Linked DNA regions of Danio rerio. The protein of the gene in region 3 interacts with the protein of the main gene of each other region in a biochemical or structural test. Links are inferred from orthologs where the notes say so. Each region holds a gene or a part of one and is shown on either strand. Other genes may lie near its edges.

Region 1 (7,836 bases), on a different chromosome or scaffold from region 3:
ATTTTAAATATATTTATTTTCCCTTCCATCATTTTCAATCATCATGTTACATTTTGGTCATTTTCCTTCCAAATAAAATTTATTTGTTGTCTGGCCCGGTTTGGCAGGTAACGTAATGGTTCAGCATAAAAAACGGCCTAGCACGATAGTGGAAACGTGAATTTTAAAGAAACAAACTATATACAAAATTTATCTCAAAAAGATGTTTTTCTTGAGAAAAATATACAAATTTATTTTAGTTTGAGCTCAACTGTGTGGATGGATGATTTTGGGTCAGTGGTAAGTAAGGATTTAATTACAATAGTGAGGCATTATCACAATGACACACACTTGCAATTTTTTAATATGTAATAATTTTAAAGATTACGTCTTGCGTCTGATTTTTCCTTGATGCTGTTGTGCTTTTTCAACGAAATATTAAAATTAAAAAGGAAACAAATTATTTCATAACGAAACGTAGCCTTTAAAAGTAAGCAACAGTGTTTCTAGACATGATTGGATTAAGGGGGCGGGGCGGTGCTGGATTTGTGCGTACCTTGTAATAAAATCCTGCAGGTGCTCCTGCTAGCCTGTATGTAGTTATAACTGTTTCAAACTTATTAAAACTACCTCAATTATTTAAACTTTAAAACAATTTAAAACTTTCAGACGAGGCTTTCTCAAGACACCATAGTTTGTCTACGAACTTGACTTTTCCAGTTTTGTGTGTTATCATAAGTCATGGGTCTCAAACTCGATTCCTGAAGGGCCACAGCTCTGCTCCAACCCACATCAAACACAGCTGATCCAACTAAACAAGCTGTTCCAGACTCGTTTGAACACCTTGATTAAATGGATCAGCTGTGTTTGATAAGGGTTAAAGTAAATTATGTTCAAAGCTGCAGCCCTCCAGAAATCGAGTTTGAGACCCACGCTGTAAGTAGTAAGTTACTTTAGTAGTAAAGTTTTGTTTATTTCTCTGCTTGTGGGAAAGCTGTTTGCGATGAGAATGACTCATATATCTCACATTGATGTATATCAGTAATGTGCGGTGAGGTTTGTGGCTGGTGAGGCACTCTTTTAGAGTCATGAATCAGATTTATTGATTGTGTTTTATATCAGTATTCTTTGTAGACACATGGCAGGTACATCTTGGGCCAAGGAAAAGTGTAAAATGTATTGCACGATCATAAGAACCCTTCCCCTAGTCTTCACTTCGTGCGATCATAAGCACCTCCTCCAACCCTCTTCACGCAATCAAACCTTAACTCTTGCGGGTAGGCCCATGCATTTTGTGCTATGCCACAGCACACACACACACACAGCAACCGCTGCGGATGCGCTCTCTCTCTCTCTCTCATACACACACACGATTCGCTCACTGTTCTTACCTACAGTACTTGTAAATGGAGTCTTGAAATGACTTGAACTAGTTTAAAATGGACGCGTTCTCTTCTGTCCCGTCCTTTGAAGCAATTCCTTTAGCTCCGGCATTGGTCGTCCATTATTTATCCACGTTTTGATTAAAAGTCCAATTTTGAGAAATTCTTGAGCTGATATCCGTAATTTTTGCAGTCAGTTGAAGCAAAATATAAGAGCAACAACTGAACAAGAATAACCGTATAGCTCACATGCACCCTATTCATTGCGGCAGAGCTACTGCCTGCCTCACCTCATGTCTTTTCATTGGCGATTCTAGTTTAAATGGCACCCTGAGCGAACCACCCCAAATACATCCTCTACCCAAGAAATAAAAGTTATTACTGGGGCACTTTTTTTTTTTCCGTCTCTCTGTGCTGCCCCCAGCGAGATGCCGCCTTGTGTGATCGCCCATGCCCAAATCCGCCACTGCGGCTTTATGACAGATCTTAACACTAAATAAGTGATAGACATACGTGAAATACATTACCTATAATATGGAAAGTGAGGGCATATAATAAAAAAGTCTACAATGTATTAAAGCATTTTAATAAAGCATTACATCGGTAGCACACTGAGTGAGCAAAAGGCAGGCGCTCAAGCCAGATTGCAAGGGATTGCGCAATCTGATGTGAGGAACTCGGTGCTACCTCAGCTTACTTCCTATGCCATAAATGAACAGAAGATATGGAAAATTCAGCAAATGTAATTATAAAAAATGATTGCAATCATTTGAGTCATACAGAAATTGCATTTATAGCACAGATCAGAGGACAAATATTTATGTTATCATTAGTAAACATATCATAATGGCAGGTGAAAATGGTGTATGTAACTTTATAAATTTAAATATGGTAGTTTACTGTGATTTCCCAGAGATTGGTTGCGGCTGAAAGGGCATCCGCTGCATAAAAACTTGCTGGATAAGTTGGCAGTTCATTCCGCTGTGGCGACCCCAGATTAATAAAGGGACTAAGCCAAAAGGAAAATGAATGAATGAGTTTACTGTGAATTTGTTTCTACTGAATATTTAACTGTAAATTTCTGGCAACCTCAGAATTTCAATTGAACAGATTTTTATTTTATAGTGAAAAAACATCCCTGCGACATTCTGGAAAAGTTTGTGTTTGGTTACCAAAAAAAGAAGGAAAAGAGCCGATTTAGCATACTAAAATAATTAACAAAATATAGGCAGAAGAAAACCAGTCATTTTGTGTGCTGGTGAGTACATTTTGCAACACATAACTGTTATAATTTCTCACAAATTAATTTAAAATTATTTCAGCCAAAAATTTAAATAGTCAACACTTCTTCATTTGGATCACAAATAAAGATATTTTTGTTGAAATCTGAGCGCTCTCTCATCCTCTATAGATAGCGTCTGTTCACATTAGGATCACCAGCACAAGAGTTTTCGTTGGAACTTCATCAAGCATAGGCTGGCTTAAAACAAGCTGTGTTTGTGACAGGGCTCGAGATTAAACAACATGGGTCACGTCATCAGAAAATGAGTTACTCTTAATTGTGTATTTAATTGGAGGTAATTTGCAACACACAAATGCTTGGCATAAAGAAATCCATTCATCACACTTCTCTGCACCACAGATATTGCATAATACTATTAACCACGATAATTAGCATTTTGTGCGTCTTTTAAAATTTCATAAAAGACATATTTTATTTGTATGCCAGTATGTTTATCTGGCACTTTTGGAAAATGTTATCAATTACTACGTGTTTTTGTCATTATCAAGTAAAACAAAATAGAAGCAATTTAAAAATGATTTTTGATCAGTGTTCTTTGTGCCTTTAAAAGATCAAAATAACATGTACATGTAAACATCTTAAATATATAATTGTTTGTAATAATTTTGAGCATCTCTAGAAAAACACCCACTTTAAACACAATGTAAAAATATCTGCATTAGTGTAGATAAAGACATCGGCCCAAAATGGGATCCTACAAAGTGCTCTTAATTGGGAACACCTTAATTTATTCTTTTTATATACCACTTCAGGTCGACAAAAAATACACGCTTTATTTACAAGGGGTATTATGTAACATATAACAGGATAGAAAAAGACATACAAAAAACAAACAAAATTAGGAAAAACCACCCAGTTGACAAACAAACAAACTGAAGGTTGATTATTGCGTGTCAAAAGACTCGGATTGCATTACTGCAGGTTGGAGGAGTAAATCTACATCTCCGGGCTCTCTGAACTCCCAGAATTCACCGTGAGCCCTACGCTCACATTGCTTGCTTTAGTATGCATGTGTTTGTGTTTATATCTTTAGGTTGCTGGCTGGAAGACTGCTCTTATCCAAATCGTCAAAATACGGATGTGTCATTGCTTGTCGTGCCGAAATCCTCTTAGGGGGGTCATAAATCAGCATTTTCTAAACAAAGGAGAAAATGAAAATACGTGAGTGAGATGAACACAAAGAAACAAGTAGGACACAAGCATATCAGGACAGTCTTTTACCATGAGAAGGTCGATGCCATTCTTGTCCAGGTTTTTCACAGTGTTGGCCAGATTCCCAGATTTCCACTTTGGGAAGGTATTCTTATAGTCTGGCAGAGACTCAACATCTGGCCAGACCTCATTGTTAGGGGTCCCCAGAGTCCTAAAACACAGATCAACCACAGAGAGGGAAGACAAAAAAAGAAAAATACTATATTTTTAGTGAAATGTTTGCATTCCAGTTTACAAAACTACATTAAAGCCATATTTTATTTGTATGCCAGTAAGTCCATATGAACCAGAAGCTGCAATCATATTTTTGTTTTCAAGAGTTCACACTTAGATATTGTTTGACAATGATAGCAGGTTTGGCATGCTGTCCCAGGAAAGAACCCTGAGCTCAGCAATAACTGAGCCCAGGGCTCCCGCCTGGTCGATAGAGCATGTAAGGGGAGTACGAGATCAGGTGGTTCTCGATAGCTCCCCGTGGTAAAGGAGGAAAGGGGGAGAAGGGGTGGATGGGGGGGGGGGTTTCTTTGAAAAAAGGAAGATAAGGAAGTATTTTTTTGCTGGCCTACTTATAGTAAGTTTGGATTAATCTGATTTGCTAACTAATGATTGTAGATGAGAGACCAGCTGCGATCAATCACATCACGTGCTCCTCTCGAAATTTGTTTGTGAAACTTCACTTATTGTTGCTTCAAGCGGAGTAGATGTAATAAAATAAGCATTTCATACAGAAAGATCTGGAAATGGGTTTTAGAAGAGAGTTATTACTACCTAACAGACACCTCATCCTCACCATTTGTTGTCAAAACTGACAGTTGGAGCAGCGTGGTTAAAGCTATGCCCAATACTTAAGATATATATAATCAGACAATTTAACTGAAGAGAAGAGAAAAAAAAGAAAAACGAAGTGCATTTTCAGATTTTAATTAAAGATAAGGTCAAACTATTTTTTTTAAATAATGATATGCACAGATTAACTGTTCACTAAAAAACTTGCAATGTGAGCAAACAAAGTCATATGGTTAGTATCGATTTCTAGTGGACTTCTGGAAAATGCTATTATTTGTTATTTGCTATTGTTATATTGACTATATTAAGTTAAAATGATTATTGATCAGTGTTCTTAGTGTCAAATATCAAAATAATATGTGCATGTAGATAAATATTTGTTGATTTTTAATGCCATGTAAGCTTGGTCCAGTTTCATTGACAAAAAAAAAAAAAAAAAAAAAAAAAAAAAAAAAAGACCCATTTTGGGATTTTACTTTTTTTTTCTTCTTCTAAAAACTCTTAGCAAAATACAACTACAACAACAACTACTACAAATGATAATAATAAAACCTCCTAAAAAAGTTCTACAAAGAATCAGAGGAGGTTTATTGGAACTAGTGTATGTTGCTTCAGGAAAGGAACTACACATTAGTGTTGCATTTTATTTTCTTTCTTTTATTTTCAATTTTATTTTTATTTATACATATTTTAATTAAATCATCTATAATTATCTGTCATTTAGATATGTTATTTGATTATTTTATCATTAATCGTCCATTAGTTCATGATTTAATTTTAGCTATTTGGTTATTTGTTAATGTTACCATTTTTAATATTGTTACCATTTCTTTATTGTTACTTTATCATTTTATAAGTTTTCTCTTACTGTTATAATTTCCCCTTTTATAAAATTACTAATATATTCCCTTACTTATTATTGTTTTCATGAGTAAGAGAGAAAAGAGAATGTCTATTTCAAGGTTTTCAAACATGTTCACACGTGCGCTAATACAACAATTATATTATCATAGAGAATACATGTTGTACTATAAATACAATATTGTACCCTAATGTCTGTGCAGTTTAACACGAGCAAATAAGTTTGTTACCAAGTACAGCCCTAATTGACCTTTTCAAACTTCTTTTATACTTTTAAAACTCTGTTAAAAAAAAATAAAATAAAAAATAAATAAATAAATAAATGTCAACACTGATTCCTGAACTTTGTCTACCTGAAGATCCTAAAGAGTTGGTCTATTTCGGAGTCTCCATGGAAGAGAGGTTTCTTGGTGGCGAGTTCAGCAAAGATGGTGCCAATACTCCAGAGATCTACAGGTGTGGAATAGCGTGAAGCCCCCAGCAGCACTTCTGGAGCTCTGTACCACAGAGTGACCACCTGCACAATCATAATCATGCGCACACACGTCAGCATTAGTGATTATAACATTTTGAGCAAGTATCATCAACTGGTATTAGGCTTCTGCCAGTATCAAATTTTCTTGTTGCGATTAACTGCTGAAGCTGTATCATGATAGACCAAAGCTGTAAAAAAGTACTTCTAACAGCTATAACAAAAAAATAATAATTGTGTATTGTATATTCATATTTAAAATAAACACCCTAAATTGCTAAATTATTATAAAGTGACGATAAAACACTTTACACATTGCGTTAGTAAAAGCTAGTTAATGAGAGAGACTGTGTGAAATAGCCACATTATAGGTACAATATATGATAAAGTTAATTTAAAAAAGTACAACTAAACAATTTGAAAGATCTCCCTCAAAAACCTTGCATTTATCTTTTAATATATAGGTTATCTTTTTTACTGTCGTATTTAAAACCATTTCTTTCAGCCAGTAACCTATATTTGGTGTACATCCATTTTTCCAATTTAAAGAAATCATAGGTTTAGCTCGAAGAATACATCTATAATACACATTCAGTATTTTCTTTGATTTTCTTAGGGTATAAATGAAGTATATAGTTGACAGAAGATAGTTTGTGTTAAATTTTCACTTATGTCACCTTTACTCAATTACAAAAATGTCTATTTTTTTTTAAGTGTGAATGTAATAGCGGATGGAAATGTGGCCTCCATTGTGGGATGTGTGTACTTACCTCATGAGTATAGACTCTTACTGGGACCCCAAAGGCACGGGCTAAGCCGAAATCTGCCAGTTTAATTACACCTTTATTGTCGATAAGCAGGTTCTGGGGCTTCAGGTCTCGATGCAGAACCCTGCGACAGTGGCAGAACAGAATCCCCTCCAGGATCTGATAAAGGTAACTCTACATAGACAACACACATCAGCACGGTTACTTCAAGATACACATTCAATACTATAGTATAGAATCCAAACACATGCCATTATAAAACATTGAGGAATGTAGTATTTATGTATTTCGGGGCATGAAAGGCACATGAAACAAAATCGTTGTATTTACAGTACCAAAAAAAAAAAAAATAAATAAATAAATAAATAAATAAAAAAAAAAAAAAATATATATATATATATATATATATATATATATATATATATATATATATATATATATATATATATATATATATATAAAATAATAAAAAAAATACACACCTTGACCAACATAGGATCCATGAATTCGCCTGATGGGATGGAGTCCAAATATTTCTTCAGATCCATGGACAGAAACTCAAAAACTAGATATAATTTGGATTCCTGCATCAGCACATCTAGCAGGCTGGGAAAAAGAGAAACACTTTATTTGTAAAAATAGTACATATACTGTCATAGTAAATATGAAAAACAAAAACTGTTTATACTATGATACTAGTAATATACATAAATGTAAACTAAATCAACTTATTAGGATGATTTCTGAAGCACTGAGACTGAAGACTGGAGTAATAATGGTATGTTAGATTGATTTCTGAGGAATAATGAGACTGAAGACTGTAGTAATAATGCTGAAAATTCATCATTTATAACAGACATTAATCTGTGGTAAGACTTCACAATAGTTTTTAATCAAATTAACAAAGCATTGGTAAGCATTAAAAACAGCACCCAAATTTGAGTAGTAGTTTATCAACCTACATACATTTTTAAACTGTGAACCCTTAACAGCATTTTAATGTCATCACACAATTCCTGATATAACAATATGCTGATCAATTTTTTTTGCGAGGTATATTAAATATTGTTAAAA
Region 2 (6,672 bases), on a different chromosome or scaffold from region 3:
CTCGGCATATATATGTGTGTACTGCAAACGGCATTTGTGTGAGACTCATCATTTCAGAAAGGCTTAAATAAACTCCTCCACAAATACATGTAATAAACTTACTTGGTATTTTTGACTAATGGAGCTGTATTTCAGCTTTATCAGTGTCTGTCTCTATCACTGATGTCTGTTTAGCTGACGTACTGCATGATGAGAAGCTGTTACGACTAAAGTATTTGTTTATTTTTTGTTGCGCATTGCATGTGTCTTGCATGTGTTCCGCATTTTCTGTTGTTTTCTGTTATTCCATAGAATCCCATTCTAATGTGATCCAAGCTCTGATTGACTGCTGGTCGCAGAGGCCTATTAAAAGGAACTTACGGAAGGGTTCGGGGAGCTCATTTGTGGTGCAAGGGTTGCTGGGAGTGGAGAGCTTCTGGATTTTCCCTACCTCTCCGGCAGACGACCAACCTTTAGTCTTGTACAACTGTTCATGCTTGCAACGTTTTGAGAGTTTGAGCTTGTAGAGGTGGCCTGCCTATTTATTTGATTACTTTTGACTGTTTATATTTAAGGAGGAAGGTAAGCTTCTTGTATTTTTCTTTAAATATACATAAGTAATTTAGTTCATTTACTTTGTCTTTTGTTTGTTATTTTGGCCTATTTTTCTATAATAAATCTATCAACCACTCTCATCTGAATGTCCGAGGGGGATCTTTTGCATCAAGTTTTTTGTTTTGTTTGGGAAATCCACCACCCACAACACTTTTTCCCCCGTTTATTAAGCCCATGTTGTTTTCCCCTAGTCTTGGGGTGTAATAGAAGCAGACACGCATGTGGAAACGGTGGGTGGGGAGAAGTAGATTATTTGCATTTAAAGACATGCTACAGAAACAGCTACACTGTATTCAGACACCGAAATGTGCAGATTCTGGTTACTATAATAAATAATCTGATGAGTATTTTGAGCTGAAACTTTACAGACACATTCTAGAGACACCAAAAGATTATTACATCCTGTAAAAGGGGTAAAATAGGTGCCCTTTAAGATTTTGTAGATATTTGGACTAGAAACAAGACAAAAACTTTAAACAAGAAAAGCATTTTTTACAGTGTAACCATTATTATTTTTTTTTTTTTAATTTTAAAGTCAACTTCAGTATTGTCGAGGTTGAAATGAAAACTTTAGCTTGTTTGCACTTTTGACTGACTGTAAAATCAAAAAAAGAAATGCAAAATTTGGCTCGGAGAGAGAAAGCAGTTGTAGCACCTAAGCTCACTATATACATGAAAATTGCTTTTCCCAATGGAAAAAAAAAAAAAAAAAAATGAAACTAAAATCTTGGAAAACTAAGCATTTCGGCAGGTGTCCATATCCGAGACTGTGGAGGCTGCAAACCCTTCTCTCATGGGTGACGCATGATCAGAGCTCAACTCCATGTCCAGAGTGAGGGATTCTGGGGAAACATGGCAACACACAGTATTATAAGAAGGTGGGTTGGCTGTAATAAGTTACTTTCATTAAATTACTTATCCTCAAAAAAAAAAAGTAAGGGATTTTTTTTGTTTTTTGTTTTTCAGCCAATGATAAACTTCCTGTGAAAGGTTAATTTATTTATATATTATTTATTTCTTGCCACATCAGCAACTTATGGCTATTTCGTGGCAAAATGGATGTACATAAAATATTAAATGATAAAAACAAATTCATATTACAAAAAAAAAGTTACATAGACAAATATATAAAATATTAATAGATAAAATGGCACACATTTCTTTTTCAAAGTTAAATATGATATTTCAGTTCAATTTTTGATAAATAATTTAAAACTCTTCCGGGTGGTACCTTTTTAAAGATGTCCATCAAAATACCCTCCTTATAAAAATTTTGTCAAATGGATTTTAAACTTCTACATTCCAACAAAATCTGTTTTATGGTAAGAGCAGCCTGGCAGTACATTACATTTAGGTGATTCTTCGTTATTCAGCAAACCTAAAATGTCCGATTCGACATCTGGTATAGACCGTTTGATCATGTCTGGTCTCAAAACTATAATTTGCTAAATGCCTTTTGTTTATTTACGGGTTAATTTCATGTAATTTATTTTTTATGCAGTTGTCCCATTCTCTTTGCCATATTTCGTTTATGTACAAATTGATTGTGGGTTACAAACAAGGGTAAAAGGTTAATGTGACTATTTTCAATTTCATATGGCTTCTTTTACATCATCCATGTTGTAATGTAGTTAAAGTACATTCAGTTGAATAGACTTATTCATTTATTTAGTTGTTCAAGGGAAATCGAAATTAAAGACCAAGTAACCACTAGCAGTCAGGATCAGCAGGCGAGCGCAGAAACTCTGACAGTAGAAACACTGGGGTAAAATAAACGGCCACATTTTTAAGATGTGATGGCGGGAAATGGAATTTGACGCAGTTCTTCTTGGCCGGTGTGAGATCCACTTTATATCCTATATCTATCAGGCAGTGAATATCATTAATTTTTTAAAGAAATCAGACCTTAACATGGCAATTTTATAAATGGAAAGATTGCTGAGGCTGGCTGACTAAAATTAAAAGTCCATGTGCATATAACCCATTACAGTTACACAGAAACTTAAATTCAACAGTTCTTTATAAATTAATTTTGAAAAACAGAAATTATTGTATTGTTTTTTACTATACAAATATATTATATATAAAAACAATAGTTTTTCAAGTAAAGGTGACATTTATCAAGACAACATAACATGCTTAAGAAACAATAAAAGGAGTGATTAATTAATTCATGATAAAATAAATATTACTGTAGACTAGAACAGTGTGATTGTATTTTCCTCTTTAGATACTTTGCGGGTTAAATAATTTCATTTCTCAACTAAATGTTGGATTTGTCAGACAACTGCACATGCCTTGGAAAATAGTAATTAGAAAAGTAATTTAAATACACGTTTAATGATGTAATTATTTATTATTAATACTACTATTAGATTTCTTTTTGAGCCCACCATTCAATCATTTTACATTCTTCTGTAAATGGGAGTAAATATTTATTCTTACACATATTACATTATCGTTTTTATATTAATTAGAGCAATATCATTGACAAATAAGCAGATGTTGAGGATTTATGTACAACATAATTTGTAAACTAATGATTCCTGTTTTTAGTGGATGTATTATATGAGAGATTTACTGTAGCTTGGTTTATTAAACAAGTGATTCTAATTGTATTTGCACTGTAAACCTTATATTTTATTATTGTTATTGCAAGTTATTGTATCATGATGGTTTGTTCTGTAGACTATTGAAAAACATTTAGCTTAAAAGGGCTAATAATTTTGACTCTATTGCTTTTTAAAAAAAAAATCAAAACTGCTTTTATTCTAGCTGAAATAAAACTTTCCCCAAAAGGAAAAATATTATCAGACATACTGTAAAAATTTCTTTGCTCTGTTAAACATTATTTGGGAAATATTTAAAAAAGAAAAAAAAAAATCAAAGAGGGGCTAATAATTGTGACTTCAACTGTATGTGTATATAACACACGGTAAATATAAATATATATATATATATATATATATATATATATATATATATATATATATATATGAGCAATATCACACGAGTAGCAGTGCGATATGGCTGTATATCGGCACTGGTGGGAAGCGTGCGTTGCCTTATCGCACTGCTACGAGTTTGACAGCATAATTGTGTATATAAAAACAAAATCAAACTTGGAGAGTCTCAAAAACTCTTGTGTATGAGGAACTACTTTCTTCCGGATTCAAATCATAAGCTGACAGTTAAACAGTTGAGTGTGCATCTTTTAAACTTTAGATCTGTAGTGTCTGCTTTTTGCTGGCTGTATGTGGGCGGAGTAATACACAAAGGGTTAAAGAGGCTGTAGGAGTTCTGATATTGCAGAATATTGCATGGCTATCAGCCAATCAGATTTGAGAACCAGACAGAACTGTTGTATATATATATATGTATATATATAATGCACACATATCTTATGTCGAACAAACTTTTATTTTGTATTCGACTATTTATAAATATGTATCTTTTTTCATAAACATGATAAGCTGTTGAAACGTCATGACTCACCGAGAGGTCCTGGATTGGCCTCAGCAGCTTCGTTGTGCATGAGAGAGTCGAGCGTGCGAGGCGACATTGGGAACAAATCGCTTGTGTTGCCAGAGTTAGTCCTGCAAAAGAAAGACATTGACATTAGACATGATGACAAACGAAACGCAAACAGATGTGTTGATTTAGTAAGAAATCTTTCACAGCATGAGTCGGCCTCCGTCCTAGTTTACATATGTGTCAGAAACACCTACTAAAACTCACACAAACCCACACTTAGAGTCGCACACATGGACACCACTTGCTTAATACTGAAAGTTCACCCAAAAATGAAACTTCTGTCATCGTGTACACTCCCCTCATATCCTGCATGACTTTCTTTTTTCAGTGGAAAATCAGATATTTTGAGAAATGTCAGCAATGTGGAAGGGGTTCAGTCATACAGGTTTCAACAATCTTATAGATAGGCAAATTAAGTTCATTTTGGGGTAAACTAACCCTTTAACAGATTGTTATCATGAATGTTAGAGGATGTTAAAGTGGCAGATTAAACATCAACAGCATTGTCATTTGAAAAGAAACATGCTTTTCATTAGTTTAATTATTATTTACATTTATTAATTGACTGAATTTATAGAAAAGGTTAGAAAGTGCCAATGAAATTTAAATACAGGCGTATTTCTGGCATTTTGCAGATTTGGCATCCACCACTGTTCATTTTTAATAATCACAGGCAAACCTGCTTGGCCTGTTTGGATTTGGTTCATGAAGACATCCTGTTTGATTTTTAATATAAAGCATTTGTATTGAAGTTTGGTTCATTGATGAGCTTGTGTGCTCATAGATTTATGAGCTTGATGCTCTTTAGTGTTTCAATTGAAATTTTGGTTTTCAACATTTCTACTAGCAGGACCTGGCAAAAAATGATTCTAGAAAGCTTTTGGATAAAAAAAGCATTTGGATTCATTTTGGTTACTTTATGAGATTGCTCTTGTTTTATTTTTAAAATTCTTCTAGTGGGACCCGGCAACATAGTTAAAAATAATCTAAAAAAAAAACAACAACAAAAAAATTAACCAAGCTGATTTTCAATTAAAATTTTGGTTTTCAATATTTCTTCTAGCAGAATCTGACAAATAAGAATCTAGAAAGTTTTTGGAATAAAAAGCATTTGGATTTATTTTGGCTCATTTTTGAGCTTGTTCTTGAACTAGTTTTTTTATTATTATTTCTTCGAGCGGGACCTGGCCACATAATTGATCTAACATAAAATTCATTCATTCATTTTCTTTTTAGCTTAGTCCTTTTATTAATTTGGGGTCGCCACAGTGGAATGAACCGCCAACTTATCCAGCATGTGTTTTACGCAGCAGATGCCCTTCCAGCTGCAACCCATCACTGGGAAACCTAACATAAAACAATCTAACAAAATTCATCTGACTAATCTGACTTTTCAATTTGAATTTTGGTTTTCAATATTTCTAGCAGGATCTGGCAACAAAATTAATATAGAAATCTTTTGTAATAGAAAACCTTTGGAATAATTTTGGTTAATTTATGCACTTGTTCTTGTTTTAGTGATTTATTTTTCTAGCAAGATCAGGCAAAAAAAAAAATCAGTTTAACAGACTTTTCAATCAAAAATGTTATTTTGGTTTTCAATATAAAACATTTTGGTTAATATATCAACTAGTTCTTTTTTTCTAAGGGGTATTCAATATAAAGCATTTCGACTAATTTTGGTTAATTTATTAACTTATTTTTGGTGCTTTTTCTAGCAAGATCGGCCAACAAAATCAGTCTAATAGACTTTAAAATCAAATTAAAATGTAGGTTTACAAAAGAAAGTATTTTGATTTATTTTGGTTATTTTATTAACTTCTTTATTAAATTCTTTTTAGTGCCTTTAATAGAATGATCTGGCAACAAAAGGAGTCTAGACTCACCTCTTAACTCTGCCATTTTCTTCTAATGTTAATAAAACCCCATTACAACCAATTGCAGAGTTTGTTTGTACACAATCTAAACTTCCGGAGTTTATTTGATTATTGCTCCTGATAATTAGGCACTAAAAGATCTAATTTATCTACAGTATGTTGCATACAGTAAAGCGTAACCTACTTTTAATCTGACCCTAACTATGGTGTCCTCAATCATTAAGTCTCAACAAAGAAAATGATTTACTAGGGGGCAAAGTTTAGCCATGCATGTTTGTGAACACTCCAAACAAATCATACGGGGAGTTTATTTTAATAAAGTGGGATTTCAACACCGTTTCCTGCTTGTGTCGAGACAAGAAAACAAACACAATTTGGCAGCTGATGTTCTGTCTGTTCGGCAAACACCAGCAAGGTAAGATTAGATCATATAGCAAAGAATTAGGGATGTTTCTGGTGGTCATAAACTATATGTCAGATTAATCAACTTGTATGAGCGGTATTATTTCCTGCTGACTCGAGACATTTTACAGTTGTATTAAGACAAGTTGCCAGGTATTTTATGAGAAATCAGCTCTTAATGAATCTAATAGAGTATTATCCAACTCTTGACATATCTTATTCTCTGAGTATGAGTTACTGCTTTCTGGTAGACGATAAAGGTTGC
Region 3 (7,553 bases):
CTAATAGATATTTCATTTAAGGTGGGTCTCAGACCAGACAAGAAGCACTGCATCAAATTAATTTTTTTTTTCCTGCCATCACTTTAAAATATGAACATTTGTTTTACCTCAGTATTTTGAATGGAGTTTCTGCGCTCACCTGCTGATCCTGACGATGCTAGCGGTTACATGGTGTATCATCCTGTTTTAGGTTTGAACGAGTGAATGAATTATTTGATTGGTTGTATATTAATTACATTATATTGCGTATATACATATATATATAATTACGTTATTTGGGAAATTAAAATGTAGACATATTATAGATTTAAATATTGATAATAGAAAGATTATATGCAATTAAGTTTATTGGTGTTGTATTGGATCATAAAATTAGTTGGAAACCACAAATAAATAATGTGATATCAAAATTAGTCAAAACTGTAGCAATAGTGTATAAAGCAAGATTTATCCTGGACAATAAATCAATAGATGTATTATATGTTACACTTATGTTGCCATATAAGAGTTATTGTGTTGAAATTTGGGGGAATCCATACAAATCTAAATTACGATCCTTAAGTACAATACAGAAAAAAAGTAATTAGACTGATGAAAATGTGGGGTATTTGGAGCATACAAATCCCTTATTTTTTCTTTTAAAGATACTTAAGTTCAATGATTTAGTTAAATTTAAAACAGCACAGTTTATGTTTAAAGCTATAGGAATACTTACGAAATGTATACAAATGTTTCTTGAAGAAAGAAAGAAAGATTAAGACGACTTAAAAAATTGTGTCTAGAACTGACTCTCAAACAATGTCAGGATATTCATCAATTTAAAAAGTTGTATAAATATATATTATTAAAGGAATAGAATGATTAAGGTGATTGAAAAAGAATAAAATTAGAAAGGTATAATGAAATTTCAATTTCTGGCTGTTTGCAATACTGTATATTTTGGGTCTGTTATAAAATGTACAAATGGAATCAAACATAATATGTCAAAGATGCCAAAAGGATGAAATATGTCTCAAGCAAAAGAAGAAATTAGTTTAAGTAATAGACAAATGATGTGTGTAATAATGGGGTGGTAAAATAATAAGCTTGTGCTTTATCCCGCTCCATTTTGACCATGTTGAAATGTATTTTTTTGTTAAAGAATTTTAATGTTTATTTCTGTTAGAAACAAATCAATTTATTATAATGTAAATGCTGTAAAAGCAACCTCATAATTTTTAAAATAGTCACATTAACCTTTCACTGGAAGTTTAAGGTGCCACTAGCTTGCATGGTTCGGGATCTGTAGAGCTGCGCATCGATGGAGTTGCTCTTCGGTGTTTGGACTCTCAGTAGTGATTATTAAACCACACTGAACTGAGCTAAACTGAACTGAACTTAAACTCTGAAAACTGAACTACACTGTTTCAATTTACTTTGATCTTTTATGTAAAGCTGCTTTGACACAATCTAAATTGCAAAAGCGCTATACAAATAAAGGTTAATTGAATTGAAAAGTTTTTCATTGGCACTAAAAACACTAGCGCGCACCTTCACATGACACGAAAGAGAATACATTGGTGAAGAAAATCATTTTTTCCCAGTTATTTGGCACACAGACGTTGAGTGGAGCTTTGAATCATTACAGTTGAACCACTGACGTCATGATGGAATGTTTTGAGAATGTTTTTTGGTCCACTCTGTACTTTGAACGTCTCGGCACCGTTGAGAGCAGCAGTTCTATAGGTGAAAAATGTCTTATTGATGACAGAGTTTAGAGGGGAAAGACCAAACTGGTTTAAGCAGATAGAAAAGCAAATGCAACTTGAATAGCCACTCATTACAACAGAGGTCAGCAGAAGATCAACACACAGCATGCAAACTTGAAGCAAGATGAGCTACAGAAGCAGATCACACAGGTGCACCTCCTGTTAAGCAAACCGAGGATCGTTTACGCAGAGTCACCAAAAGTGTACGACAGAAAATAGAAAAGTTTGCTTGGTCTTATTTGATTCAATTTCTACTTTGATGTTCAAATGGTTTCAAAATTATGGTGGAAATAACATGAAAGCATGGCTCCATCCTTTCTCATATCAGTATTGTAGGAGACAACATCTTGGCACATTTTGGCCCCTTAGTGCCAATGAAGTATTCTTCAAACACCACAGCCTACCTGATTATTTCTGTGGAAAATTTTTACCCCTTCATGACCACAGTGAACCCATCTTAAGGATAACACTCCATGTTACAAAAATCATCTCAAACTGTATAATTTTAACATGACTGAGTTCACTGTACTTAAATGGCCTCCACAGTCACCAGACTTCAATCCAATAAAGCACCTTTGAGATGTGGCGAAACGAAGGATTGACGTCATAGACGTGCAGCCAATAAATCTTTGTTGACCTTTCAAATCAGCATGGACCAAAATCTTGGAGGAATATTCATAGCACCTCGCGGAGTCAACATGCTGAAGAATTGAGACAAAAAAGGGTCTCCAACTAGGTACTAGCCAGGAGTACGTAATAAAGGGGCCAATAAGTGTTTTTACATACTTTGTTACTTCAAATAAGTGGCACTTTAGCTTACTACCTGTACATAGTAGCTCAGGAAGCTAAAAAAGTGCCACTGAGGACACCGGTTCAACAACTTTTGGTCTCCAGTTAGTCTGGCTAAAGCTTTGGCAGCCCCTGGCAGTCTTAGACCCCCAGGGCACAGAACCAGTCCACAACCCACACCTGCATACATTTAGTTTCTGTGACATTTTAAATGTGGTATCAAACGCAAGCGTGAACTAAATAGTAAGAGGATGATGAAACAAGCTTAAACTAGACCATACTTCTCATAGATTTTCAGCCTGTAATCTATGATTTAGAATTACCTTACCATTAGCACTCACCGAGAGATTTTATTCATATTAAATCAATATATGAGACTATTAATAATAATATCTGAGGAACTAAGAATGAAATAAGATCAAAAGCAATAAAACAGGAGAATCAGAGATGTATATGTTTATTACCACAGCGTCTGCTCTGTATTCTGTCCAAAAAAATAAAATTTCAAATGTCAATACATCCAACTGGAACAAGCATATGCTTTACTTACAAAACAAAAAGAATCAACATTAAAAAGGACACAACAGGATGTTGGGAAGAGAAACTAAATTCTCAGCCTCGTTACAGAAAGGCCAAAGATAACTGAAAGACGACAAACAATGACACAGACAAATAAATTTCTCTATATATGCGTATGTGTGTAAATAAAGCCGGCAAGAAGAGACTTTACATTCTGCGGTCCCGCTTTGGGACCAGATTGTGAGAGTCACTACGATGAATGGTGGCACTCGTTATGACAAAACCTTCAAACCAAACAACAATTGCTTCAGCATGTAAAACATCGAAACCCTACAGACAGGAAAAACCACCCAGCGACCCCGAAAAAAATGACCATTCTGGACTGGTCAAGCAGCAGTCAGAGAGACACCACACAAAGCGAAGTCACGATTAAAAGCGTTTCAGGCCTCGGTGCACCTTAAAGAAGAGGCTTGCTTTTTGTTTTGAGGTTACTGCATTGGACTTGTTCACACATTGTTCAAAAGTAACAGTTCTGCAGCGTGGTTTGATTGATTTGAAGGAAATGTTTATGCCCGTCTGCCGTTAATCTCTCTCGATAATAATTACTATAATAATAGAATAAAACAGTAAAACACAAAGACAGCTCACTGTCACTGGTCGTATCTCTCTTTGCATTCATTCGGTGCTGGTGTTATGTTTTTGTTTTGGTTAGTCTGACCCCATGTGAACTTCGATCAAATCATGTGACGTGGGTCAGAATCATCTGAACTTATCTGTATTGCAGCAGGAGGGAAAACAGAAAAAAACAAACCCCATCCAATCCTCTGAAATATCTCATCATACTCAATACTGCCACCTGCTGGTCAGACTATCATTAAACAAATGAGAAAATAAGAGAGTATTTAGAGGTTCTAACAATGAAGGATTTGGTTGAAATCAATAACTTGATTTCCACAGCAAACTTTAATTGAAATGTTATCAAAACCCATATAAATTCACAATGATTATTTCAAATGACTGAAATGCCAGCTCTCATTGGAGATTATTAATCGGCCGCAGTCACTATTATTGCATTGGGCTTCTGTAGAAAAAGTTTGTACTGAACGTCTAGACACCAGCTCCAGCATTTTCAATGATCTGAACCTTTTGGTTAAACGAAGACTGATTGGACAAAACGTCGAATGAATGAACGAGAGGACGGTGCTTCAGTCACATGATCTCTTTTCATACACAGAAGTGCCAGTGTCACCTTTGGGGGTACACAAAGATGGAAAAAAAAATGTTTAAAATGAGAAAAAGTTTGGGATGTTTTACACTCTGAAAGTAGCGTAACACTGAGCACTTGATAGTATTCGACATCCCAGTCTACTTGTGACCTCCCTTTTTTCCAACACACACGCGCGCGCGCACACACACACACATACAAACAGATTTTTTTTTTATCACGTACAGCAGGTTTGTGTGTTCAGCATGTATAAAAGGAGCTCCTGAACAGCTCCATCACTGACAGTCGTCAGAATTAAATTGCAAAAAACAAAAAAACATGATGGAGACACACACACACACACACACACACACACACACACACACACACACACAGACACACACACACAAAAATTTCCCTTACTTACTGCAGCAATAAGAGTCTTTTGGATTTTCTTTTAGCTGTGTATAACATTTGGGTAGCAACACCTGAATTGTGAGGCCCTGAGGTTTTAAACGGACACACGTTTATTAGATTGTGTGTGTAAAAGTGTGTTTAGAGGGAGACAACAGCAGTTTGGCTGAGAGGAGTCTTTGAAACCCTTTCTCCACTTGGAGAGATGGGTCCAGCTGAGAGAGAGAGAGAGTGAGTGTCTGTGTGTGTCTCTCTTTTTCTTATCCCGCCTGTTATCGGAGAGATAGAGAAAGAGACGGATGGAAAGAGAGGACATCAGTGGAAATATGTGCGGTAACAATAAGCACCTACGGCCAGTGCCGTGCACAAACACAAGCTGACCACCAGGGGGCTCCAGGCTTCTTGGGCGGCAGTGGTAGGAGCCTCCGTTGCAGGAGTTAAGGGAGGAGATCGCGGAGGTTTGGGAGGAGCTTCTCTTGGGATGATCGGTTCGTCGGGTTGTTCATTTACCAATGGCAATGCTCCGACTTCTGCTGGGACTGTTCGTTTGCGAATTTCTGGCCCGTCTGTGAATGTCTTGGGCGCACTGTAAAAACACCAGACAGGTTGGGATGTGCTTGTTGGGTTTGGATGATAATTACTAGTGAGAAAGAGAGGCTGACCTGTTTGCACATATTTCTGCACTGTTTGTGATGCTCTCGGTGAAGAGGTGTGCGAGGTCAGAGTTCCCTAGGTCACCTTTGCCGTTAGGAGGGTCTATTCGGGGCGGTGGCCTGGGCGGAGGAGTTAGTTCAGGGGGAAGATCCTCCTCATTGGATAACTCCTTCCAAGACTCCTGTTCACACAAGCAAAACACATTTCACTGACTGAATTTCTCCTGTGAAATTTAAAATAAAGTTTTTTAGATGTCAGTTTTAGTCTTAGTTTTAAGAGTATCTATTAGATAGTGTGAACCAAACAGTGACAAAATAAACGGTAAGAAAATCTAAAACTGATATAAACATCCAAAGCTTGCAGATTGTCACTTCAGCCCAAACGGATCAATGATTTTTATCAAGTAACCTCATACAGTTTCTCAACAAATCTCGAGACTCCTATCGCTCAATAAAAAAATATCGCCACAATCTATTCTCAAAGTTGGGTTAGGAGCTGGGTCAATTCTACGCAAGCTATGATGACTTTCACCTTGATATTTTAGCACGGATGTATACCTGACTGGTGAGCTGTCTGAAAAAAAAGTGCCCTTCTTAATCAAATCAGCAGGATGCCTGACTTTAACAGCAGTTCGGTAGTTTTTACTTTAACTCATGAACATTTAATTCATCCTCCGTGACAAACTGGGGTATTAGTCTCAAATAAGGACTGGTGAGAGTGTTATAAAATTTAATAACGCACACCAAATGGAAAGCAAAAAAACTTCTGCATTTTGAAATATGCATGTGTGTGGTCCTTTAATGACAGCCGCGTGTGTGGATCTTGTCGAAAAAAATGGCGAAAAGTCCTACATGACGGTGATAGTTTGATTGCGGTGTTTACTTCAATAATGCCCCTAATATATGCATACTCCATGTCTTAATTCCATTTCTGTTCAGTTCAGTTATGACTTAAGTCAGATTAAGGTTATCTCAAACATTTTTATATATATATATAAATAAATAAAAATCACTGGTTCGAGCTTATGTAGGCCTACAGTTCAAAACTCTTGTTTAACTAAAAAAGCAGTTGGTAAACACAAGTACATCTTATTGAACATCATTCATTTTCATCACTAATTATCATAGTAGAACAGTTTCTCAAGCAGTTTGTGATGCATTTTGGAAACAGGAGATGAGCCCCAGGGGTCCGTTCTTCGTACCTCGCTTAAATGATCTAAGATGATTTGGCAGATCCTGGATCTTTTAATCTTGATAACTGATCTTGATAATTTGGTTCTTCAAACAAGTTATGAAATCAGATTAAAATGTCTGGATAAACTAATCTGAGATCGCTGCATGTGTTGTAATGGACAGATCTATCGATCCTCGAAATCATGATTAGCAATGTAACTATTGGCTGATGGCACAGCAGCGTAATGACATCATCTGATTAATATTTAATTATCCATGTGAGCAAAACTACATCAAATTAGCAGTAAATGGTTTGTTAAATGTGACGCGCAATAACTTTCCACATTTGGTGTGGACTGCAGACTTTACAAGTGTCAAGAGTATTCATCATGTATTTCAATGCATATCAATGTATTTAGTTCTACATTTAGAGAAGATTTTCTATATTAAAGTAGCCTAGGCATACTCAAGTTTTTTAAATAGCGTAAGGAATAACTGTATAAATTAATTTAGCATCAAAAAAACATTTTGATATCGGTAAAGGTGTAATTTAATGCAATCACCAGAATATTAGTGTTCAAAACATGTGCATGACTGCATAAATTATTACATTTAAAAAAAAACATTTATGAAGTCTAATATTCTGCATGTACACGTTTGCATCTAAAAAGTTCCTATCGATAAATTTTCTCTTTGAACCACCAGGTGGCAGTCTTTTACTTTTATTTCGGAGTGCAGATTGCATAAGTTTTATCAATACATCTTTTAACTTGTATACTATTTTCCCAAGTGTATATAAATAGTGTAAGAAATTATCAGCATTTGGTAATACTTTCAGTATTATCTTTGCTTGTACTGACCCGATCTAATCCTGTTTTTATAAAATGAACCTGCTCCTACGCAGGTTTGATCTATCAGAACTGTTGCTATGACAACAAGTCTCAGATGAGTTTTGAAGAACGAAACGATCCTGGATCGTGTCAAATCGTCAACATCCAAATCCAGCTAATTGAGTAATCCACAAACAAAGAACAAACCACTTGTCTAATGCGC
Region 4 (8,758 bases), on a different chromosome or scaffold from region 3:
AATATTCATCATACACTTGTCACAATCCTGTTTGAGTTTCTTTTTTTCTGTTCAACACAAAATAAGTTACTTTGAAAAATGCTGGAAACATGTAGCCATAGGCTTCCATTGGATTTGTGTTTCCTACTATGGAAGTCAATAGTTACAAGTAGGAATGGGCAGGTAAGTTTCTAAAGGTATGATTACCTTGGATAAAAATAACACGGTTATATTGGCACCAATAGCCTAGTGGTTAGTGCATTGACACATAGTACCAAGGTGCTCGCGGTGACCTGAGTTCGATTCCTGGCTTGAGGTCCTTTGCTGATCCTTCCCCTATTTCTGCTCCCCACATTTCCTGTCTGTAAAAATCTTTTTCAATAAAGTTGAAAAACCCTAAAAAATAATTATATATATATATATATATATATATATATATATATATATATATATATATATATATATATATATATATATATATATATATATATATCACAATTTCACTGTATCACGGTATTGTGATATTACTTAAATATAAGTTCTTTTTAAATGTCTGGGTAAAAAAAAAAACTTTTTCCCCTATTGAACACTATTTTTATTTTAAGAAACATTTTAAATATTCTGGAAGAGTAAATGTCAGGCTAAATAATTAAAAACCATCTTCTGCTATCTTTAATAGTTTCAAAAACACTGATTGTTTTTACAACAAAATAAAAAAAAACACAATAACAAACTTAAATATACCTTAGGCAGGGTATAACAGAAAATTCTAGCAGTTTTAAACCTTGAAACCAGTTATCGTCCCATGCCTAGTTACAGGTTTCTTACTTTTTTCTTTTCAAAATACCTTTGTTTGTGTTTAACAGTAAAATGAAACTCATAAAGGTATGGAACCACTTGGAATATAAATGATGAGTACATTTAATTTCTGGGTGAACTATCCCTTTAAGACTCCAGAATAATAACCAGTAGTTGCAAACTGTAAAGAAATATGTTGATATAATGCTTCTCTGACCAAATTACCTGCATTAGGCTTAGTAAACCAATAATAAAACATCATATTGTATGACAAGCTGTCACAGTTGTTTCAAAAGACACTTAAGGAGAAACAATCGAGAGTCTCCTGTTAAATGAAAAAGCGGTAACACAATTTCCTCTGTAAAGAAGACTCTCTGGCTCTATGACTGTGTCTCTTCAGTTGGAGATGTATAATTTATTATATTTTTTATCTAAAAGCTGTCTCTCTCTTTTAAAGATGATTTCATCTGCATCTAACAAACTGGCCCAGAAAGAAATAAACAAAGTGTAAATCTTTACTATCCTGGCAGAAAATGCTGTGCTATTATATGGATTATATAGATTATTTTTTTAAACTCAAATGGTTTGTTGCAATTGGTTTCCTCAAACAGTTTGAGTTGCCTTAACCTTTTGGGTCTTACATTACTCAGTTGGTTTGATTTCTATTCATTTATCAGGTTTTACTGTGCTCAGATTGCTTCATTTACTCAAATGGATTAAGTTCACAGTACTCATTAGGAGTAGTATTTAAACTTAAATGGTTTGTTGCAATCGGTGTCCTTAAACGGTTTGAGTTACCTTAACTTTTTGTGTTTCGCAGTGTATGTTGTTAAATAAATAAATGTATATGTGTATAAAAAATAGTGATGTTTGTTTCACAATTACTATCATACAGTGTTCATGAGATGACGGAAGAAACTGTTTCTGTGTCTGTCTGTTCTGGTGTATATAATTTTATATATAATTGTTGTTACAAATTTAAGTGCATTGTACAAAAACAATACAATTGTCACAAAAGAGCCTCAAGAATTGTGTTTATTCAGGTCATTTTAAATAAGTAGTTTGAATAAGTAGCAAAAACTTTTTTTGAAAGTAGATCGGACCACTTTTTTAATGTAAAGACTCAAAATCTGAACACACATGGTCACAATAGATGCTTCTCTGTCTATGTTGTTATCTAGTGGAAACATGGCTTTAGATAAATCAGCACACTCCTCTGTTAAGTATTAATCTAAAAACATTCTAGTATTGATCACACCTGCCAACCTTTTTAGTTCTAGGTAAACTTCTGTAAATGTTTTCCTGTAGCGCTTAGATTATTTTTAGTCAACTATACATGATGTTACCAAATGAGCTGAATTTGGACTAGATCAGCGCTACTTCTACACAACTTGATGCTGATTGTATGCATGCGAGTATGAGGATAATGAGGATGAGGAGCTGGTCCTGTACGTCAGACCCCCAGGACAGTGTGTGGGATTCAGGCCAGTGGTGGGGAATTCCTCTCTCCTAAACTGAGGAGCTGCAGGGTGAGTCAGGGTTTGAGTCAGAGAGGCGATGCACGGGGAGAGATGGACTCAGGTTACTCAACTGTCCTCTGAAGAAGGAGTCTTTCTCTTATTTAAAGATCCCTAACAAAACATGACTCAACATTCTTAACTTAGTAACTGATTCAGCCTGGTTACCTAAAGAATGATCTCAATAAGTCAACAGTCTATGCACTCACAATAGTACGTATCACCCATTTTCATCTTCATCATGGACCACCTCAGGAGAAACCAGTATAAACCAGTATAAACCAGTTTAAAGGGACAGTTCAGTCAAAAATGACAATTCTATTATTATTTACTCATTCTCCACTTGATCCAAACCTTTATGAGTGTCTTTCTTACATCAAACACAAAATAACATATTTTAAAGAATGTTGGAAACCAGTAACAATTTATTTTCCACTGTAGATATTAATGTAGATGTCAAGTATTTTTTATATATCCTTATTTATGTTCAAAAGTAAAAAAAAAAAAAAAAAAAAAAAAAAAAGAGAAAATGGTAATGTTTTGAAAATACTTGAGAGCACTTGAGGGGTCAGTAAATATTAAGAAAATGTAGATATTTGGGTTAACCATCACTTTAATACTACTACCAGCCTATCCTGTGATCATTATGGGACGCATTGTAAAAGAGCAAACAAATACAAATTGTCATACTTTGCTTTATTAACATTAACAGCATAACATGCTGATTTGTAAGTGTTGTAACATAGAGACATTTAGGTGGAAAACGGACTACAATTCACAGATTTTCTATATACATATATATATATATATATATATATATATATATATATATATATATATATATATATATATATATATATATATATTTATATATATATATATATACATACAATAAAAATCATACATTTCTTTCTTATGTTGAACAAAAAATATTTTGAAGAATGTTGGAAATCGATAGCAATTGATTTTCTACCATGGATAGTAATGGATAGGGGTTTCAAGTATTTATTAAAAATATTCACATTTATGTTAAAAAGTAAAAAAGAGAAAATTATAAAGTTTCACTTGAGGGTCAGTAAATATTGAGTAAATTTTAATGTTTGGGTTTTCCATCCATTTATTGCTACTACCTACATATCATATCACGTAATCATTATAGGATGCATTTAAAAAAGTGAACCAATTCAAAGTGTCATACTTAGCTTTAGTGTACCATAACAAACTTGCTTATAAGACACATTTAAAAGCGTGTTAACACCAGATGGAATAAGCGACTAAACTGACAGATTTCCAATATATGTAGACAAATTAAAAATAATAAATGCCTTCAAAAATAAAATTAACTAGAAAATCCTAAATTCTCATCTCCAAGAATCATCTGTCTGAACTGCATTAATAACTGCCCATAACCATTTCAAGGTCTATTTTAATGACCAGGGAATATCCCGGCCTCTGCAGGGGGTGAATCCCAGAACCAGATTCCTCTCATACGGAAACACAGCACAGCCCAACTCTCACGTCCAAATACCTAAGCACTGTGTCATTCTCAACTCTTACAAGCTGAACAAGAGCCAGCAATTTCAAACAATGGCAAGGAATGGATGCTTCACTGGTCCGGCCGTCACGTCACGCTGTTCTTTTCTCCCTAAAATTTCTCCATACTTCTTTCCATAAAAACCTTAATCTTCCAGCGTTCTCCTGAGTCAGCAAAGAAGAAGCTAACAGTGGCAGGGTTCCTTTTCCGTCCACTCGTCCTCCTGTTATGCCTGCTTTCTCACAGCTTTCAAAACTCAAGAAAAAGCTCAATATTTTCTTTTCAAGAATAGAAATATATACTCATTTTCAAATATATACTGCTAGCCTCTCAAAAAAGTGTTACACTGCCTCTTTTAGAGCTTTTCAAGCTACTTGATCTCCTGCTGCCATAAAAACAAATCATATAATGCTAATAAGACAGAAAACTTGATAAAAGCCAATCTTGAAGACTCTCTTGTTTTTCTGCTGTCCACAAAGACATTGATTCAGAAAGTATCACCCGAGGGCATTTCGCATAACCAACTTAAAGTGCTCACACAACAATGAGAACAGCAAGCACACTCACCAGATAATTCATTTTCAGCCCTGCCGTGCGAGTCTCTGGGACTCCAGACAGCACTAAACTGCCTGAGATTTGACCCCCGAAGAAATCCCACTCGGACCGTCCACTCTTTTGTCAGACCTCTCCGCGTCTCCCAGAAAGTCAGCTTCTAACACATACTCCAATTCCGTGATGTCAGAGGGCAAGAACGAGACTGTCCCATATACTTCTGTCTCTTGAAGTCGCTGATTCTCTCACTGCGTCCTTCCTGCGCTCGTTCTCTCCCACCCTCTCCGGCAAAAGGAGGAGGGAAGAATGCACAGGGAAACCTGACACCCTCCCAGTTCCTTCTCAATCCTGACATTCCCTTTCCCTGCTGCCGATTGGCCGAGGACTCTGTTCTTATGTTAATGAGCCTTACACTCTTCCTCCCCCTGCCTGTGAGGAATGTTTAGTGAACCTCTCTGTAGACCTGAGAAACACACACACACATACTGGGTTTTTTGGCCATCACACACAAACACACAGCTTTGTCTAGACCCTTTCCTTCAGCCTCAACTTTTTGGCTTGCTGATTTTGTTGCCCATCCTTTTGTTCCAGCAGTAAATCCATTCTCAAGGAGACAAAAGTTTAACTCTCTATTGACATTTGCAGTGTTTGGAAATGTTTAACCTGTTTTATCTCAATATATATCTTGCCTGAATTATTAAAGTACCATCAATTCAGAAAAGGAAGGATTGGGAAGATTGAGATGGAAAGCTTTGTTATGGATTTATTTACATAGCTATTTATTCAGAGTATTGCTGAAGCAAAACTTTGTTCTTGATTAATTTCCTGTCTCTATTTTAAAGTACAATCATTTAGATGCATCACAAACTACAGAGAAAAAACAGACTGATAAAAAAAACATATGAAGCTTAAAAAGACTAATTATATATATATATATATATATATATATATATATATATATATATATATATATATATATATATATATATATATATATATATATATATATATATATATATATTTATTTATTTATATATATATTTATATACATATATATTATTAAATAAAAATAAATGAAAATCAAATTAAATAGAAAATAGAATAGAATAGAATAAAACTAAATAAAATACAATTTTAATAAAACAAATAAATGAAATAAAATAAAAATTTAATTAAATAAAAAATATAAAATAAAACATAATATAATATAATATAATATAATATAATATAATATAATATAATATAATATAATAAAAAATGAATAAAAGCTAATTAAATCAAATTAAATAAAAATAGAATAAAAAATGTAATAAAAAAATTAAATAAAATGATTGCACATTTGTGTGTACATGTTCGGCTCAGGAATGAACGAGATACAGGTATGTAACAACATTTGTATATAATTTTTTTTTTTTCAATAAAACAACAAATTTGAAAAAAAATCAAAATGCAAAATAAACAATGTGGACATTTTATCTGTATCTATTTAAAAATGAAATAGCTCTGAATGACGACCATTGGTTAAGTAAATAAACTAAGCTAATCTGCCCCTGTTTGCTTTAGTGTTCGCAATTCACCATGAATTTCAAAGCATGACATCATTCGCTGGTTCCCCCATGAGGGAGTGACCAGGTCAGGGGTCAAAGTGGGATCCACATTTAAATCAATGTGGTAAACAGACAAAAGCAGAATGTCCTAATGCACTGTCTCCTGCGATTCACAGATAACAGATAGAAAATCTACTCCTCAGATGATTCTGAGGCACAGAGTAAGTCAACATGCCTTTCTAAAAGTAGTGTCAGAAAAGATGCATAATGACCTCAAACTGCCACGACATCATGGTGTGGCCTGGTGCTAAGGTCAGGGGAGGTCAGGGGAGGTCAGAGAGGTACGAGACAACAGGGCATCAAGATTTCACATCAGCATTCCTAAATCTGACCTGATCTGAAGGAAAATATTCACTCAATTTAAGCTGAAGCCAATTTTGTAATATCACTTGTTGATTAATGGTTTCATAAATGACCTAGACTGAGATAATTTAGTAGAGATGACCATCTCTTTTGGAGGTAAAATAGGATTAAAGACATTTTTCAATTCGCTCTCTAGTTTTCAAATAAAGTTCTTTGATTTTCTTCTAAACCGGTATAACATTTTCATATGTGCAACATAAAAACACATATTTTAAGGAATGTAAAATTTTGGAACAACACAAAAGTACATTACTAATGACATCTGTAGGGATTACATTGTCAAAATCCTTCCAGTGCATTTTAAAAATAACCTAGATATTGCCTTAAAATGTCATACAATCAGCTAGTGCTCACTATACTAATTAACTAGAAAATAATAATGTAAATATATGAAAACAAAGCCTTTCAAAGCTTTTTTCCAGTGAGCCAGTGCTGTGTTTCTCAACCACGCTCCTATCTCTGCAAATTTGTCATGTCTTAATCAAACACACCTGATCCAGATCATCAGCTCATTAGCAGAGACTGAAAGACCTGTAATGGGAGTGACAGACAAAGTAGACATCCAAAATATGTACAGTAGTGCTGGTGGTCCTTCAGAAATGTGGTTGAGAAACACTCAGTTAGTGCTCACTATATTAATTCACTATGAAATAATAATGTATACATTTGAAGACGAAGCCTTTTTTCTGCCTTAGTGTACAGTTATGTATCACTTTAGTTTATAGGGATAGTTCATCTAAAATAATCTGTGGGCTATATGCACAGCTAGTGTTTTTCAGCCAACAAAAAAAAACTTCCGGTAAAAGCTTAATGTGACTATTTTCAATTTCACAAGGTTGCTTTTACAGCATCGATCTTGTAATGTCATTAAAATACATTCAGTTAAATAGACTTAAGCATTTATTTAGTAGTTCAAGCATAAAACGAGACAAAAGGCCGCCCAAAAACCACAGAGTAATATCAACTGACCCAGCCAGGACTCGAAGCAGGGACCTTCTTGCGGTGAGGCAACAGTGCTAACCACTGAGCCACCGATTTCCTCTATTTTTAAACAATTAACCATTAAAAGTTGTTAGAGCACAGATCAACGTCCCATATTGCAATTTGAACGCATAAATAAACTGGAAATGCCCTAGAATCAGAAAAGAAGAGCATCTGTTAATTAACTGATTTATATATTTTACAATGATGTGCTAAACAGCACTGATGCTAATAGAACAGGGACTTTTAATATTGCTGTGTCACCATTATCCCAATGTTTAGTGTATTTAAGCCCATCTTAGTATCCAAATCCATGCTTACAGCCTACCAATTGTGGCAGATCAGGAATTGAGACACAGTCCTCGATACATGAGCAATGGTCATAAATTACATGGCACAACTGGTGTCAGATCAGCAAGATCCCCCCTAATTGAAAGTGCCGCAGGAATTTAAAGCTTTTATTGTGCCATGTCTGGTCTCCATGACAATTGAAAGGCACTTCATCTCACACTACGGAGCGGCTACGGCGCAAGATGGATTTCGATGTCCGAGACGACATTCTCTCTTTCAAACACGCCCTGGGACGTTTGTTAGTTATTTCCATCCGCTAAGCCTGAGTGACATCATGGCTGTCATTGAAATTAGCAAGTGTGCGTGAATTTTGTCACCGTAGAGATTAGGCTATCACATCAGACATCATTTCAATTAGCGCTCCACCCCCTCCCGCTCTCCAGCTAATAAGCTCTCTCCGTCAGCGCCCACTAATCACAATTCTGTTATATAGCGGGTGTTGGGCGACGCTCGTCTAGGGGTGAGAGGTCTAACTGCCTGTCACAAAGCACTAGAGAGGTGAAAATGAGGTGATCTTTGCTTCCTGAATCTTCTTGTGAAGATTAAAATGATTCCACATGAAACATTCTAAGACTAGACTGCCATCAAATATCGTCACTTGGTATTTCCATACATTTAAAATGTGACACAAGCAAGTGGACGATGACTACGATGTTGATAGTAAGCTGTGTGTTGTGGTACACATAGCAAGTGCAAATATCTTGTTCTGGTGTGCTTTCTAACAGCATGTCCTAAAATGATCCTGTTAGTTCAGTAGAGTAGAGCTCTTTTGTGGCATTTAACCACATGAGTATCTACACTACAAAAACAAGTCAGTCTAATTCTTTTTTGACTACTGCTGAAAGTGGTCGAAAGTGGACAAGCTAAAAGAAATGTAGACAGTGTTTACATCTCTGTTTAATGTTGTTCACTTGTGATCAGATCAGCAAGGGCATTTGTTTTCATTTGGTATTAATGTGCTATTGAATTGACTAAATCACGAGTAGATGCACTGCTGTTTACACCTGATGTTTTCACCTCTTTTGACAACTTTTTTCTGTTTTGGTCTGAAATGTGTACGTATTAATATGTTAAAG

The links.
Region 1: of the proteins of ptpn1 (region 3) and cdk1, one has a biochemical effect on the other in vitro, tested with the Homo sapiens proteins (2 studies listed by BioGRID). The link is inferred for Danio rerio from reciprocal best matches to the Homo sapiens genes PTPN1 and CDK1.
Region 2: of the proteins of ptpn1 (region 3) and stat3, one has a biochemical effect on the other in vitro, tested with the Homo sapiens proteins (2 studies listed by BioGRID and IntAct). The link is inferred for Danio rerio from reciprocal best matches to the Homo sapiens genes PTPN1 and STAT3.
Region 4: the proteins of ptpn1 (region 3) and bcar1 form a complex in vitro, tested with the Homo sapiens proteins (3 studies listed by BioGRID and IntAct, with this or other methods). The link is inferred for Danio rerio from reciprocal best matches to the Homo sapiens genes PTPN1 and BCAR1.

The regions. Positions count from the first base shown.
Region 1 is NC_133192.1:22,202,688-22,210,523, reverse strand, and holds the end of cdk1 (cyclin-dependent kinase 1), read right to left. Parts: intron 7,369-7,836; coding exon 7,245-7,368; intron 6,937-7,244; coding exon 6,766-6,936; intron 6,041-6,765; coding exon 5,877-6,040; intron 4,028-5,876; coding exon 3,886-4,027; intron 3,800-3,885; coding exon 3,686-3,799; 3' UTR 3,352-3,685; downstream 1-3,351. UniProt on the Homo sapiens protein: Plays a key role in the control of the eukaryotic cell cycle by modulating the centrosome cycle as well as mitotic onset; promotes G2-M transition via association with multiple interphase cyclins.
Region 2 is NC_133178.1:15,776,266-15,782,937, reverse strand, and holds the end of stat3 (signal transducer and activator of transcription 3), read right to left. Parts: intron 4,191-6,672; coding exon 4,090-4,190; intron 1,437-4,089; coding exon 1,330-1,436; 3' UTR 890-1,329; downstream 1-889. UniProt on the Homo sapiens protein: Signal transducer and transcription activator that mediates cellular responses to interleukins, KITLG/SCF, LEP and other growth factors. Once activated, recruits coactivators, such as NCOA1 or MED1, to the promoter region of the target gene.
Region 3 is NC_133183.1:30,341,420-30,348,972, reverse strand, and holds the end of ptpn1 (tyrosine-protein phosphatase non-receptor type 1), read right to left. Parts: intron 5,510-7,553; coding exon 5,337-5,509; intron 5,261-5,336; coding exon 4,990-5,260; 3' UTR 2,979-4,989; downstream 1-2,978. UniProt on the Homo sapiens protein: Tyrosine-protein phosphatase which acts as a regulator of endoplasmic reticulum unfolded protein response. Mediates dephosphorylation of EIF2AK3/PERK; inactivating the protein kinase activity of EIF2AK3/PERK.
Region 4 is NC_133193.1:23,993,871-24,002,628, reverse strand, and holds the start of bcar1 (breast cancer anti-estrogen resistance protein 1), read right to left. Parts: upstream 4,633-8,758; 5' UTR 4,408-4,632; coding exon 4,396-4,407; intron 1-4,395. UniProt on the Homo sapiens protein: Docking protein which plays a central coordinating role for tyrosine kinase-based signaling related to cell adhesion. Implicated in induction of cell migration and cell branching. Involved in the BCAR3-mediated inhibition of TGFB signaling.